Schizosaccharomyces pombe: one gene and its partners. Changing the gene in region 3 together with the main gene of any one other region gives a genetic interaction. Each region holds a gene or a part of one and is shown on either strand. Other genes may lie near its edges. The genes, in order: lys3, arg1 and atg8.

What was found.
Region 1: mutations in atg8 (region 3) and lys3 impair growth when combined (synthetic growth defect), as found in Schizosaccharomyces pombe (one study listed by BioGRID).
Region 2: mutations in atg8 (region 3) and arg1 impair growth when combined (synthetic growth defect), as found in Schizosaccharomyces pombe (one study listed by BioGRID).

The regions. Positions count from the first base shown.
Region 1 is NC_003424.3:528,455-532,520, reverse strand, and holds lys3 (saccharopine dehydrogenase Lys3), read right to left. Parts: upstream 2,243-4,066; 5' UTR 2,000-2,242; coding exon 893-1,999; 3' UTR 540-892; downstream 1-539. Other genes in the region: NLI-interacting factor-like phosphatase Psr1, read left to right, coding at 1-89; SPOM_SPAC227.17C (uncharacterized protein), read left to right, coding at 2,355-2,720; GINS complex subunit Psf3, read left to right, coding at 3,750-3,848, 3,896-3,954, 4,061-4,066. UniProt on the Schizosaccharomyces pombe protein: Catalyzes the NAD(+)-dependent cleavage of saccharopine to L-lysine and 2-oxoglutarate, the final step in the alpha-aminoadipate (AAA) pathway for lysin biosynthesis.
Region 2 is NC_003421.2:1,612,483-1,616,814, forward strand, and holds arg1 (acetylornithine aminotransferase), read right to left. Parts: upstream 2,455-4,332; 5' UTR 2,416-2,454; coding exon 2,344-2,415; exon of another isoform or gene 2,316-2,343; intron 2,096-2,315; coding exon 842-2,095; 3' UTR 565-841; downstream 1-564. Other genes in the region: Protor homolog, Bit61, read right to left, coding at 1-82; NEDD8-conjugating enzyme Ubc12, read right to left, coding at 2,597-2,706, 2,954-3,101, 3,213-3,301, 3,384-3,479, 3,546-3,636; protein Gta3, read left to right, coding at 4,181-4,332.
Region 3 is NC_003423.3:3,683,722-3,687,248, reverse strand, and holds atg8 (autophagy-associated protein Atg8), read left to right. Parts: upstream 1-1,878; 5' UTR 1,879-1,983; coding exon 1,984-2,017; exon of another isoform or gene 2,018-2,098; coding exon 2,099-2,154; exon of another isoform or gene 2,155-2,320; coding exon 2,321-2,596; 3' UTR 2,597-2,968; downstream 2,969-3,527. Other genes in the region: SPOM_SPBP8B7.26 (uncharacterized protein), read right to left, coding at 41-125; cyclophilin family peptidyl-prolyl cis-trans isomerase Cyp4, read right to left, coding at 650-792, 886-1,348; rnf10 (ubiquitin-protein ligase E3), read right to left, coding at 3,167-3,527. UniProt on the Schizosaccharomyces pombe protein: Ubiquitin-like modifier involved in autophagosome formation. With atg4, mediates the delivery of the autophagosomes to the vacuole via the microtubule cytoskeleton.

The DNA of each region.
Region 1 (4,066 bases), on a different chromosome or scaffold from region 3:
ACGATATGGAATTAATCGATTTAATTCCATTTCTTGAACATCTTGCTCGTGTTCCAGATGTTAGTACTGTCCTTAATCTTCAGTTATAATGACTATTGGAAAATTTGTGGCTTTGCGAAGCCTTTCCATTATCTTGGTTTCTACTTCACGACGAAATTTTCATTGAACTTGAACGGTTTCTTTCTTTTTTATCTTTTATTTAATAAATTTTCATCGTTAAAAGGTCTCAAATATGGTTTCATGTTGTTATAAATGCTATTTTTCTTCATTTGGCATATGATTGATCCAGAATCAAAGATGTTTTATTGACGTTTACATGCTTTATTTCTCTTTCCCCTTGTTATGTCCGTCGACCTACGAAAACCTTGCTATTGTACATTTTACTATTTTTTAAAAGAGCGGAACCATTCTTTTTTAAGCCTTTTTGTTCTAAAATTAGATTTTTTAAGAAGTGCTACATTATGATTGTTACTAAATCTTTCCAATGCCAAAGATGTCTGTGCCTATAATTTAACTTCGTAAGGCAAGCAATAAATATTGGGGAAAGTTTCAAGATTTATATTTACCATATAGGTAAGTGGCAAATGCAGGATGAAATCCTGTTTCTTAATTATTAATCAATGACCGGCGAAAAGTATAAAGGAGGTTTGCAGAGAAATGTGTATATTATCATATTTAAATTAGTCAAATATATATTGTAACGTGAATAACAAATCAAAAGGTAGTATTATGCAACACCGCTACAATTTAACAAGTACGTGGAAAAAATGTCCAGAGCATCGAAAATGCCGTCTAAATTGTATTCTAAAGTTAATTTTTGAGAAAATAATATTCAATAATTTGGTGAAACAATATAAAGGACCCGGAACTTTGAAATTAAATAACATTTATTTTAAAGCTTTTGAACCATGGTTTCATAAAGTTTTTTAGCTCTGACCCAAACGGGAGCATTGTCGACGTCCTTCAAAGCCAAAAGACTAGGAATTAGAGCTTCACTAAATGCTTCGGAAGATTCCCTTGGCAATAAAGTAGGAAGATGATCAATAGAAATGACCTCTAAAGGAGGAGGAGTTGTGACACCTTTAACCTCAACTGTAGGATGATCAAATGTAGTGTTTACATTATAAATTGGAATAGGATTGTTAGGATTGGTAGTGTCACAGCTAACATCACAAACAACACGCAATTTACGGTTAGGTACATTTAACGACTCGACGGTACAGAATTTGGGAATAGGCATGCTCAGATAAATGCAGTTAACAAATATGTCTGATTCCGTAATTTCGGTAAAGGGACCACCCTTCTTAGTTTCATTAATGTCCCAGCGAAGAATGTTATCGAAGGGAATACCAATCTTTGATGCTAAATCGCACGCTCCAGTACCACAACGACCAAGAGCCCCAATAACCAGAATACGAGGATACTGGTTGTTATTCTTTTTCAAAGCTAAACGTACTTGACGAGCAACATGGCGAACCAAAGATTTTTCGTTGGGGAACGGACGGATAGCAGGGAATTGTTTGTTAGGATGCAATAATTGATGTGCCCAAACTAAACATGAGATAGCTGATCCAGCAAAACCAGCGTGGTAACCAAAAGCGGCAACACGTCTGCCATTGTCATCTTGCAAAAATTCCAAATCATATAGAAGACCATTGCCAGCGGGGAATCGGGACAAGACTTCACGCCAACCTTCCTGGTTTTTGTAGCAATGAGCAAATTGAATATGAGTATGCTTCAAAGGACTGTTATCATTTTCCGGAAGCTCTTTGAGACCAATAATGTACGCGTCCTTAGGTGCATGTCGCCATGAGCCCTCAGGAACCATGGGGAAACCAAGGCGCTCAAATTCTTTGTCCTTGAAAGCACGTTGGGAAGAGCGCTCAATGGTAATTTGAAATCCAGCATCGGCGAGTATCTTGGCAGTTCTAGGAGTCAAAGCACTGCGCTCTTCTAAAGGTTTGGTTTCAGCACGTAACCAAAGATGAGGAGCAACCATTTTGGAACAGAAAATTAATTAAATATATATTTTTAAATCGAAAAAGTATTTCAACGTTTTTAAAAACTTCCCTTTCTAAGTTAGTCAAAAAAATTTAAACTAACAAAATGAAGACGTGGCGAAGGAGACCAAAAACTTAATCAAATAAGTTTATATACTGCAAATTGGCAAAATAATATAGATCAATCTCGATATAAATGAGATCAAATTTGATGCGGTCAATTTACAGATCAGCAATGATATGAGCAGAAGGGATCTTGATGGATCTAATACGCTACACAGGTTCAGTGGCAGTCACGTTAGCTACCTATCCTAGGCACAATTCACTTGATTTTTACTAGTATGCTTTTAAATAATGAATAATTTTAAAGAAAATGATGAAAAAAGCACTTTTGGTCAGTATGCGGAACTAGATAAAATACTCGACTTGAAAAAAGGGATTCCTGAGGATCCGTGTAGTTTACAGTATTACTTTGACCAAATGGCCATGTGTTTAACAGTGTTCTCACAAATGAATCATTACTATCGTTATGGTGAATACAACAGATGTAAGGGAAATTTTAAAGACTTTAAATGGTGTCTGTCAACCAAGTCGAAGGCTCACGAAGAGGCTCAAGAAGGGCTTCGTAAGCGGCGTCTTCAGCAGTGGATGAAGTTTAGGCAAGGGCCGAATAGTGAAGACATTTGGAAGATGCGTACTTCTCCAAAAAGTAGTGAATAAGTTTTTAACGTTTCGTGCTGTGTTCACCAAACGTCGATATCAATTCTTACGAAGGCATCCATTTGTTGCGTATAACATTGGGGGAATAGCATATTTGATGATGTCTTGGATGTAAAGTTCCTGTATATCCTAGTCTGCTTAACCTTTGAAACTAATTGTTTATAGTTGGCGGGGTACTTCTATTTAATTTACCTTCCAAGTAAACTCTGAGTTCTCTTTAATTTTATGAGTAACTAATTAAACGAACAACAAATTGTTGCTTTGATTTTACAACATTGTTTGGCAGCAGGTTGATTATTTACTCAGGTAAAGATTGCTGATAAACTCGAAGGTGTTGACATCTAAAGTATGGATTAAAGCGTATATGACTTGATGAACCTGTTGATGAAACTTGGCGAATAACTTATGAAATTTGGCCTATGTCGGTGTTAAAACCTTTTTGCATTTGGAAATGACATACTAAATAATTAATACGCAAAATAATTTTGAATACAATGCAATCATGTTTTGTAGATTACGGACTAAAAATCATTTAAAAAAATCAGTTTTACGGAAAGATTGTGTAAATTTTGATCGCATAATGAGCAAGTTTCATAAATAGGTATAACATTCAAACAAGCATATGCGTTTCTTTAATGAAACTATAGAACAAAGTTTCCTTTTTTTAATAAAATTTTTCGACCAATTTCAGAAGGACGAATATACACATGTATGACATACTTTTCGAGTTAAACATTGAAGCAAATTTTTAGTACTCGAACATACAATATTTATCAGCACTAATTTTTTGAACTAGATGCTCTGTTAAGAAAAGTAAAAATAAATCTTTTTTATCTCTATTTTTTTTGTTGATTAGTACTGGTGTAATTACAGTTCATTATTTATCCACTATATCTTAGCCAACTCAAATTTGAATTTATCGTTGCATCTACCTACTTTTACCTTGTAACTGCAACTTTTCTAAATGAACATATTTTGATAAAATAACAATAACACTTCTATCATTCCTTCTGCTCAGACATTAAAAAAATGGATTACTATGATATTGATAGTATCTTGTCTGAAAATCAAAAGGTTCCATGTACTAGTACAGTTTCCATTCCAGGACTAGGCCATGAAGGGCGTATGGTTAGTGAAGTTTATAAAAATAGAACTTGACTTTCTAAACAGTTTAGGTTCCTACGGGCTCTAAAGTTGAACTTCCTTTTTGGCTGGCAGAGGTTTTAGCAATTAAGTAAGTAAAGTTTTTTTTTTTTTTTGGTTTTTTCTGCATGTTACATTATATACATGTAATGTCTTATAGAAAATTGGATAATTTTGCTTATTTGCTTACTTTATAGTTCTTT
Region 2 (4,332 bases), on a different chromosome or scaffold from region 3:
CAATGCTAGTTTTAGTGTTTTTTGGAATCCAATTAATGGATGAGGCGCTCGAGGTAGATGAAAAAGATCCCCTCCCTACCATCTTTAGTAATATTTTTGGAAATGTACTGAGGGTATCCAAGAAATTTGCTTTTAGTTACGCGAAATGCGATTCTTCAAAATAAGCATGAGATGATATTCATTGTTCAATCATTATAAAATGATTAAACTTACTTAAAAAAATGATATTTTTTAGAAAGATAAAAAATTTTGTTTATTTTTGAATATGGTGGTATTTTGCTAAAGTATCGATGTGCGCCTTAAATTAAGATAAAATATAGAAACGAAAAATTGATTAAGAATTCCTTATAACGATATCGTTCTAATGTGAATTGAATGAATAGCATGTTGATATAATAATTGTATGCCAAAGAAAAAAATAGTTAATGCTAAAAGAAAACATGGAATGTTATTTGCTATATAACTTTTTAAAAGTTAGTAATAGAAAACGCAGTAAAAAAACATTGATTTTGTGAATTACTATCATTTGACAGAGTATTTACGGTACATATTACGACAATTCAGTTTAGTAGATGAAAAACAACAATATATATCTAATTTTCTAACAAAAAATGTAAACAAAATTGATTATGAAAAGAAAGGGAATAACGAAAACCAGTATTTACAATGTAAAGCTTCCAGCTAAGCTTTTCGTAACCCCCCTATCAAAAAATTTTTTGGTTGGCAAATGAGAGCAAGGTTAATATATGTTTTCGAGGAACAAGATTTCTCGTAATAATCACTTTTTATCGCACTATATAACCAATCCATTCAATGACCAAGTCTACGAAAACATACACTTTTACTTACTTAAAGCCTTCAAAGTGCTCTCCATGATATCCAAACCCTTAGCAATAACCTCATCTTTAACATTCAAACTAGGAAGGACACGGGTGTTGTTGTTTCCACCTGGTAAGAGTAAAAGACCTTGTTGACGAGCAAGCTCAATAAATTTAGCAGGGGGCTCGGTAAATTGCAAACCAAGAAGAAGACCACGACCAGCATATCCACGAATAAGATTAGGGTATTTGGCAACAAAGTCATCAAAACGTGAAGTAAGAGCCTTGTGTTGCTTTCTAACGTTTTGTAGAATCTTGGATGACCCTAATTCATTAACACAGAATGTGCCTACACGGCAAGCAACAGGATTACCTCCGAAAGTACTGCCATGTTCACCAGGGTGAATTTCAGCAGCGATCTTACTGGAGACAATGGTGGCGCCGATAGGTAGACCATTAGCCAAAGGTTTGGCAACTGTGATAATATCGGGACTAGCGACATCCTTAACGATACTATGGGCCCAAAGATCACCGCTGCGACCAAGTCCGCATTGAATTTCATCATAGATTAAAGAAGCACCAACCTTATCACAGGCCTTGCGCAAAGCAATCAAAAATTCAGGCTTGGCAGGACAAATACCACCTTCACCTTGAACGGGCTCGACAATAACAGCCGCAGTTTTGTCATTGACAAATTGCTCTATGGATGCAGGGTCATTATAGACGGCTTGGACGACATCAGGAAGTAATGGTTGGAAACCACGTTTATATTTGGGGTTCGCAGTGATACTAAGAGATCCCAAAGAACGGCCGTGGAAAGAGTTATTAAAGTAAACAATTTGACTCTTCCCTTCTCCATACTTCTCAAACGCTGCCTTACGAGCGAACTTCAAGGCTGTCTCATTGGCCTCAGTACCACAATTGGCAAAGAAAATTTTTGTGGGGCCAGCAATACCGCTATTTTTTGCCAAAGAATTATTAATGACATTAGATAGCTCAATGGCAGGCTCGTTGTAGAAAAGGTTGCTACTATGGACTAATTTGGAGCATTGATCAGCGGCAAGTCTAGCAACTTCAGGATGAGCATGACCCAAAGATGTAACAGCTACGCCAGAGGTGAAGTCAATGTATTTACGACCTTCCTTGTCAAACAAATAGGAGCCCTCACCTTTAGCAGCTACGACTGGATAGCGTGCATAAACTGATATAATATTCGCCCCTTCCTTCTTGATAATATTGCAACTGGTTGTATCAGGAGTTGGATCTTTGTGGGTAAGCTAAACTTGGTTAATAAGCAGTTTAAGAAATATTAAAATTAGTACTGTATGAGGCAGTATGAAAGCACAAATGAAGATTTATTTTGTTGGGTCAGTAAGAAGCATTCTCAACATCAATACTTGTCTAAAAACAAGAGCAAAGTACAGAATTCTCGAAAACAATCAGAATTAGATGATAGTCTAATTATTTGCCATCGTATGTTCAGTTGCACTTACAATGCATACTCTATCAACAAACTTGTACTTACGCTGACAAATCGACGAAAGGCGATTTGGGAACCAGACGAACGAACAGAGAGAAGTGATCGTCTTTGAAACATTGTAAAGCAGTTACGGGCTTATTAGGGGGGTTTGGTTCTGGTTATGTGTTTTTATACTGATATCGGAAGTTCATCGTAATCGTGACTGATTTAGCGAGATTTAAAACACATCAATATTTTCATGACAGTCGTCTAATCTATGTCGGTTATCTTTATCGAATTGATTTAGATTGATGAAAAATTAAGCCATGACATTGTCAAAAGAAATTCCATTCACAAGACCACCTTTCATGGCTGTACGCACACGAGATGCAAATCCTTGAGGGTCTTTATGCAAATCAGCCGCCGCCTCTAAAAGATATCGTTTGTTAGTATAGTTAAATAAATCTAGAAAATTTGTTAAGGAGCAAACCAGATTTCTTATATTAAAATTGCTTATCATAATCATTGTCCTCAGTAAAGAACCTTATAAATCCCATAATAAAGGATCGTAGAAAAAATGAGTATCAAATGATAGTTAAGAGATGAATAATCATTTCCTTGTAATGCAATAACAAGAAATAGTTCATTGCCCCCCAAAAAATTGTAATTAACCTACCTTTGTTGAGTGGATCTTCTGCGTTTGGTGACAAGAATAAAAATTGCAATCCAACCAAAATAGAATTCAAATTCAACACTGGATTCCAATCCTGACGCAGAATATTGAGGCATACGTTTCCCTCAATATCGATATTTGGGTGATAGATCTAACAGTAGGTCAGAACGAAAGGGTTCAAAACATGTTATAATGGTTATTTTCTTAAATGCAAAAAATATACCATAAGCTGCAACTCTAATTTAGAGCATGACTGACATACTTTGTTTAGACATTTAACCTTAGGAGGATCATGAGGATAATTATCGTCGATTTGGATTCGAAATTTAAATTTCCCACCCTTGTAATACCCTTTTCATGTTAATCAAAATAAAAAATAATAGTCTCAAAAAGTCTACACCAAATATTCTTTCATGCGGAATCACAAACTTACCTTCGTCAGGCCGGATTTCTAAATGTAGCACGTTCAATTTTATAGGATCTGGCCAGCTTGTAGACATCGTAGATGGGATTTCTAAATCTGTAACGTCTAAATTCATCGAAAATGGTTAGTTTCGAGTAAATCGCGAAAAGTTATCAACATGATGAGTCGCACCTTTTTGGATTCGGATTTGTGCTGGACTAATCCCTGACGCATTTTTCTCTTTTTGAGCTTCTTTCTTTTTTAATTCCCAAATTTTTCTCATGATTTACGCGATTCTTGTAATAGGCAGAAGGATGGAAAATGCGCTTACAATTTTGGGTATAAACAATACTCTCATACATCATTAAAAAATAGCGAAACATGTAGACACCTAAAGTGCTAATAATGTGGCATTTTATATTACCTTATTCAATTGCAATAACCAATTTTAATAAAGTCGTTACTCTACGCAAGCATTCAACAATATTACGTACTGGAACACTGCTATGTAAAGTTATATACAGACATCGCAGGATGTCGTAAATTTAGGGAATGGGAAACGGTTATCATAGTAATGAAAAATAGTTCTCCTAATTAGAGAAGCTGATTATATTGACTTTACTTACCGAATGATTTAATATATTCCTTTACTATTAATTCTAAAAAAACCCAGACTTACAACCTAGTCGTTAAATTGTAGGAACCGACTACAACTTCGACAGCTGTTTCAAAGCATTTGAAAAACTTACAAAGTGTTTAAGATTGAATCTTTTTTTTAACCTGTACTATATTTTTCTCTTGTAATTAGCTCTATTTTCCTTTTCACTATGCCATTTTTGAAACCTTCAAAGGTTTCACTTAAACGAATTCTCCAAGGAAATCCACCCAAACCAATTGGCTTAACTGAGTATGGTCATTTGCTGAGGCTCGTTGGTCTTCGTGAAGCAGACTCTAAGGAAGAGAATGAAAGAACAATTCT
Region 3 (3,527 bases):
TTGTTAGTAATGTCTCAAAAAGCAAAGGAAATATGCTTACCTGGTAATTTCGATGTAATCTTATTCTGGAAGCGGTTCGCAGAATCCGACATCGAATGCAGTGATTTTTTTGTTGAGTCAAACATTACGATTAGTTTGAAATTGATTTCTCACAATTGACGCAAAAACCGATTTTACCCAAATGTTTGCGGTGGACAGCTTCCGACTCTCGAAATTCCTTAAGTCCGCTTTTCTAAGAGCCCATAGGGTAAACAACTACACAACGTGCTAGTAATATCAGCCAGCTGATAGGAAAAAATAATGTCTTTGAGTTCTTTTTGATAAAACATAACAAAATAGTAAGCAGCTAATAAGCTTCGCGTTTGTTGTCAATACTTACTATCAGAATTGCAGCATTGCTATTACGCTTGCTAAATTGGATAATATACGTAGAGTTCTATATTCATTCAATTGAAAACTTGTTAAAATCGCATTCTTTATGCGTATATTAGTTATACAACTATGGCTGTCAGAAAATGCAAACAAACTACCACAAGAAGTGATCCTTCCAATGATAAACGTTTATGTTAACAGAATGTAAAATCATTGCTTTTCAAGTAAATCTTATAAACACTAGATGTTGATGACTTTCATAAATAGAAAGTAGGGATTACAATTCATCTGTTCCGTCATCTTCAACATTTTCTTGAGACAACTGCCCAGATTTGATAATTTTTACATCTTCAAGAGGCTTATCACGGTTGTCAGTCTCAGCTTTGGAAATTTTCTTGACAATATCGTAACCAGAAAGGACTGATAAAATTAGTATTAGCAAACAAAAAAAAGGAAAAAGAAAACAAATAGTCACTTTTATAAAACATATACAACTACAATATGAATTCTTACCTTCACCAAAAACAACATGGTGTCCATCTAACCAAGGTGTTTTAACTGTAGTAATGAAAAACTGAGATCCATTGGAATCGGGTCCAGCGTTAGCCATGCTAAGCAAACCGGGACGTTGGTGAGAAAGCTTAAAGTTTTCATCAGGAAAACGGCTGCCATAAATTGATTTTCCACCAGTACCATCACCCTTCGTAATATCACCACCTTGAATCATGAAATTGGGAATAACGCGATGGAAAATAGATCCTTCATATCCAAATCCCTTTTCTCCGGTGGCTAATGCGCGGAAATTTTCGGCTGTTTTGGGAACAGTTTTACCAAACAATCCAATGGTAACTCTTCCAAGGAACTCATCACCTTGTTGCAAGTCGAAATACACTGTGTCTGTAACTTTGGGGCCACGGTTGGCAGAGATAAGCCCAAAGAAAAGAGTAAAAAGTAAAGAGAAATAGAACAACTTCATTTTTGTTTTCACAAACTAAAAGCTTCGTTGTGTGGTAAAGGATAAATAAATAGTTATGGTGGGGTTTAATAGCAAGACTCGCTAGATTTTGGTTGCTGTAGCAACTTTTAGCACAATGTTAAGCAAATAATTCAAGAAGCGCTTATTTGTTTACATCAAACACTACTATTTTTCTAATGGTTTGATTATTTAATGAAAGATAGAAATAGTAATTATTTGCAAAATTCTATTTCCTAACCTTTTTTGGAAGGTATTTACGTGTTAAGCGTGCTATTATTTATTTACACAACGTCTTTATTTCCATTCTTGCTTTTCTTCCTAAAAGAGTTGTGACTTTTGTTGTACCAAGGATTGAGTATATACCAATTATGGCTATCATACTATAAAGAAGTAGTAAAAATTCCTTTTGATTGTGTACTGCTTAAGATTCGTAAAGTATTTATTTATTACGAAATAAGGTAACTTATCATAGTATCATAAGATTGCTTCATATCTCTGTATACGTTACCCAAGGGTACGCTTATTTATCCAAGACCGTATACCACATAACTCACGCACCGTTTACAAAGAACACCGAATTTTGAAGCAATTGAAGAGAGGAGTTACTACTTCAAGCAAGAAGTTTGAGAGTTCTCATGCGTTCTCAATTCAAGGACGACTTTTCTTTTGGTATGTGTCAAAAACTTATAGAAGTTGTTTTTTGGACAGCATTGTAGAATACCTGGAACTAGTAGGCTAATTAATAATCAGAGAAACGAAAAACAGAGTCTCAAAGAATCCGGGAAAAATATCCCGATCGAATACCTGTAAGTAGAGTCTGGTGGTCAAAGAGAACAGGTTTCAGAGCAAAATAGTGGTGAATTGAACAACACCCATTGTTTTTGTCATCAAAAGTGAATCCATTGTTACAAGTCTGACCTTTTTCTTTCAAAAATACAAATTACGTTTTAAACTTAACTGCTAACTTAACAGGTTATTTGCGAGAAAGTTGATAAATCTGATATTGCTGCAATAGATAAAAAGAAATATCTCGTTCCATCTGACCTTACAGTTGGTCAATTTGTATATGTTATTCGCAAACGGATAAAACTTTCTCCTGAGAAGGCCATCTTTATTTTCATTGATGAAATCTTGCCCCCGACAGCGGCCTTGATGTCAACGATATACGAAGAGCATAAAAGTGAGGACGGCTTTTTGTATATCACGTATTCAGGAGAAAATACATTTGGAACAGTGTTTCCTTTTTAGATCAACAATTTGCCTGTTTTAAGATGGCCCCGCCTTCTTTTAATTGTGATCAGCAAAATTGTTTGTGGACAATGGTTGAATGATTCTTTATGTTTTTTTTACTCTGCATTTCTAGCTTTTTAGCTTTCAAGTTTCTTTGCTTTTGCATTATGATTATTTTACGCGCGTCTTATACATATCATTCTCAGGTTAGCCACCACGATTTTAAGGATGTTTCAGATTTGTCTTACAATAGATGTGATGAACGCTTATGACTAGTTTGCTTTGACAACAAAGTTATTTTACCTTGTTAATTAATAAAAACCATCAATTAAAAAAATTGATTTTGATTTTCTAATAATATTAAAATGTTGATAAATAATAAGTAGATATATATCATCAGCTGATTCTATCCTTTTTTACATTAACTGGTTGTCATAATAGCGAATACTATTCACATGCCCCAAAAAATTGGTCAATCGTAAACTTTCATAATTCAAGCAACAAGTGTTATAACTATATTTCAAAATAAAGCCCACTCCTGCATTTCAAAAATTTCAGTAGCATTTCATCACTGAGAATGCTCCATCTTTATCGATGGGCGGCACCTGTTGATAATAAAACTAATTTCTTCTTTTTTTTGTTTTTTGAGTTTTTGGAAGGTGCAGATAATTGAGCAACTTTGTCCCAGTCAACTTTCCAACCATCAAGATCGTCTTGATCATCGGTGTCATTTTGAATATTGGCAAGAGCTCTTGTTCCCCAAACAGTCTTTGCAGTAGATAAGGTAGACTCATCTGTATTAACCTCATCGGTAGATTCAAATTGATGATGACTTCCCAATGTGGGGAATGCTTCAGCAGGGTCCTCATGCACTACGGTTTTTGGCACAGGTCTCTGCATATTTAACTCGGAGTATATCTGTTCCTCTGTATCACGTTCAGCCCGTTGT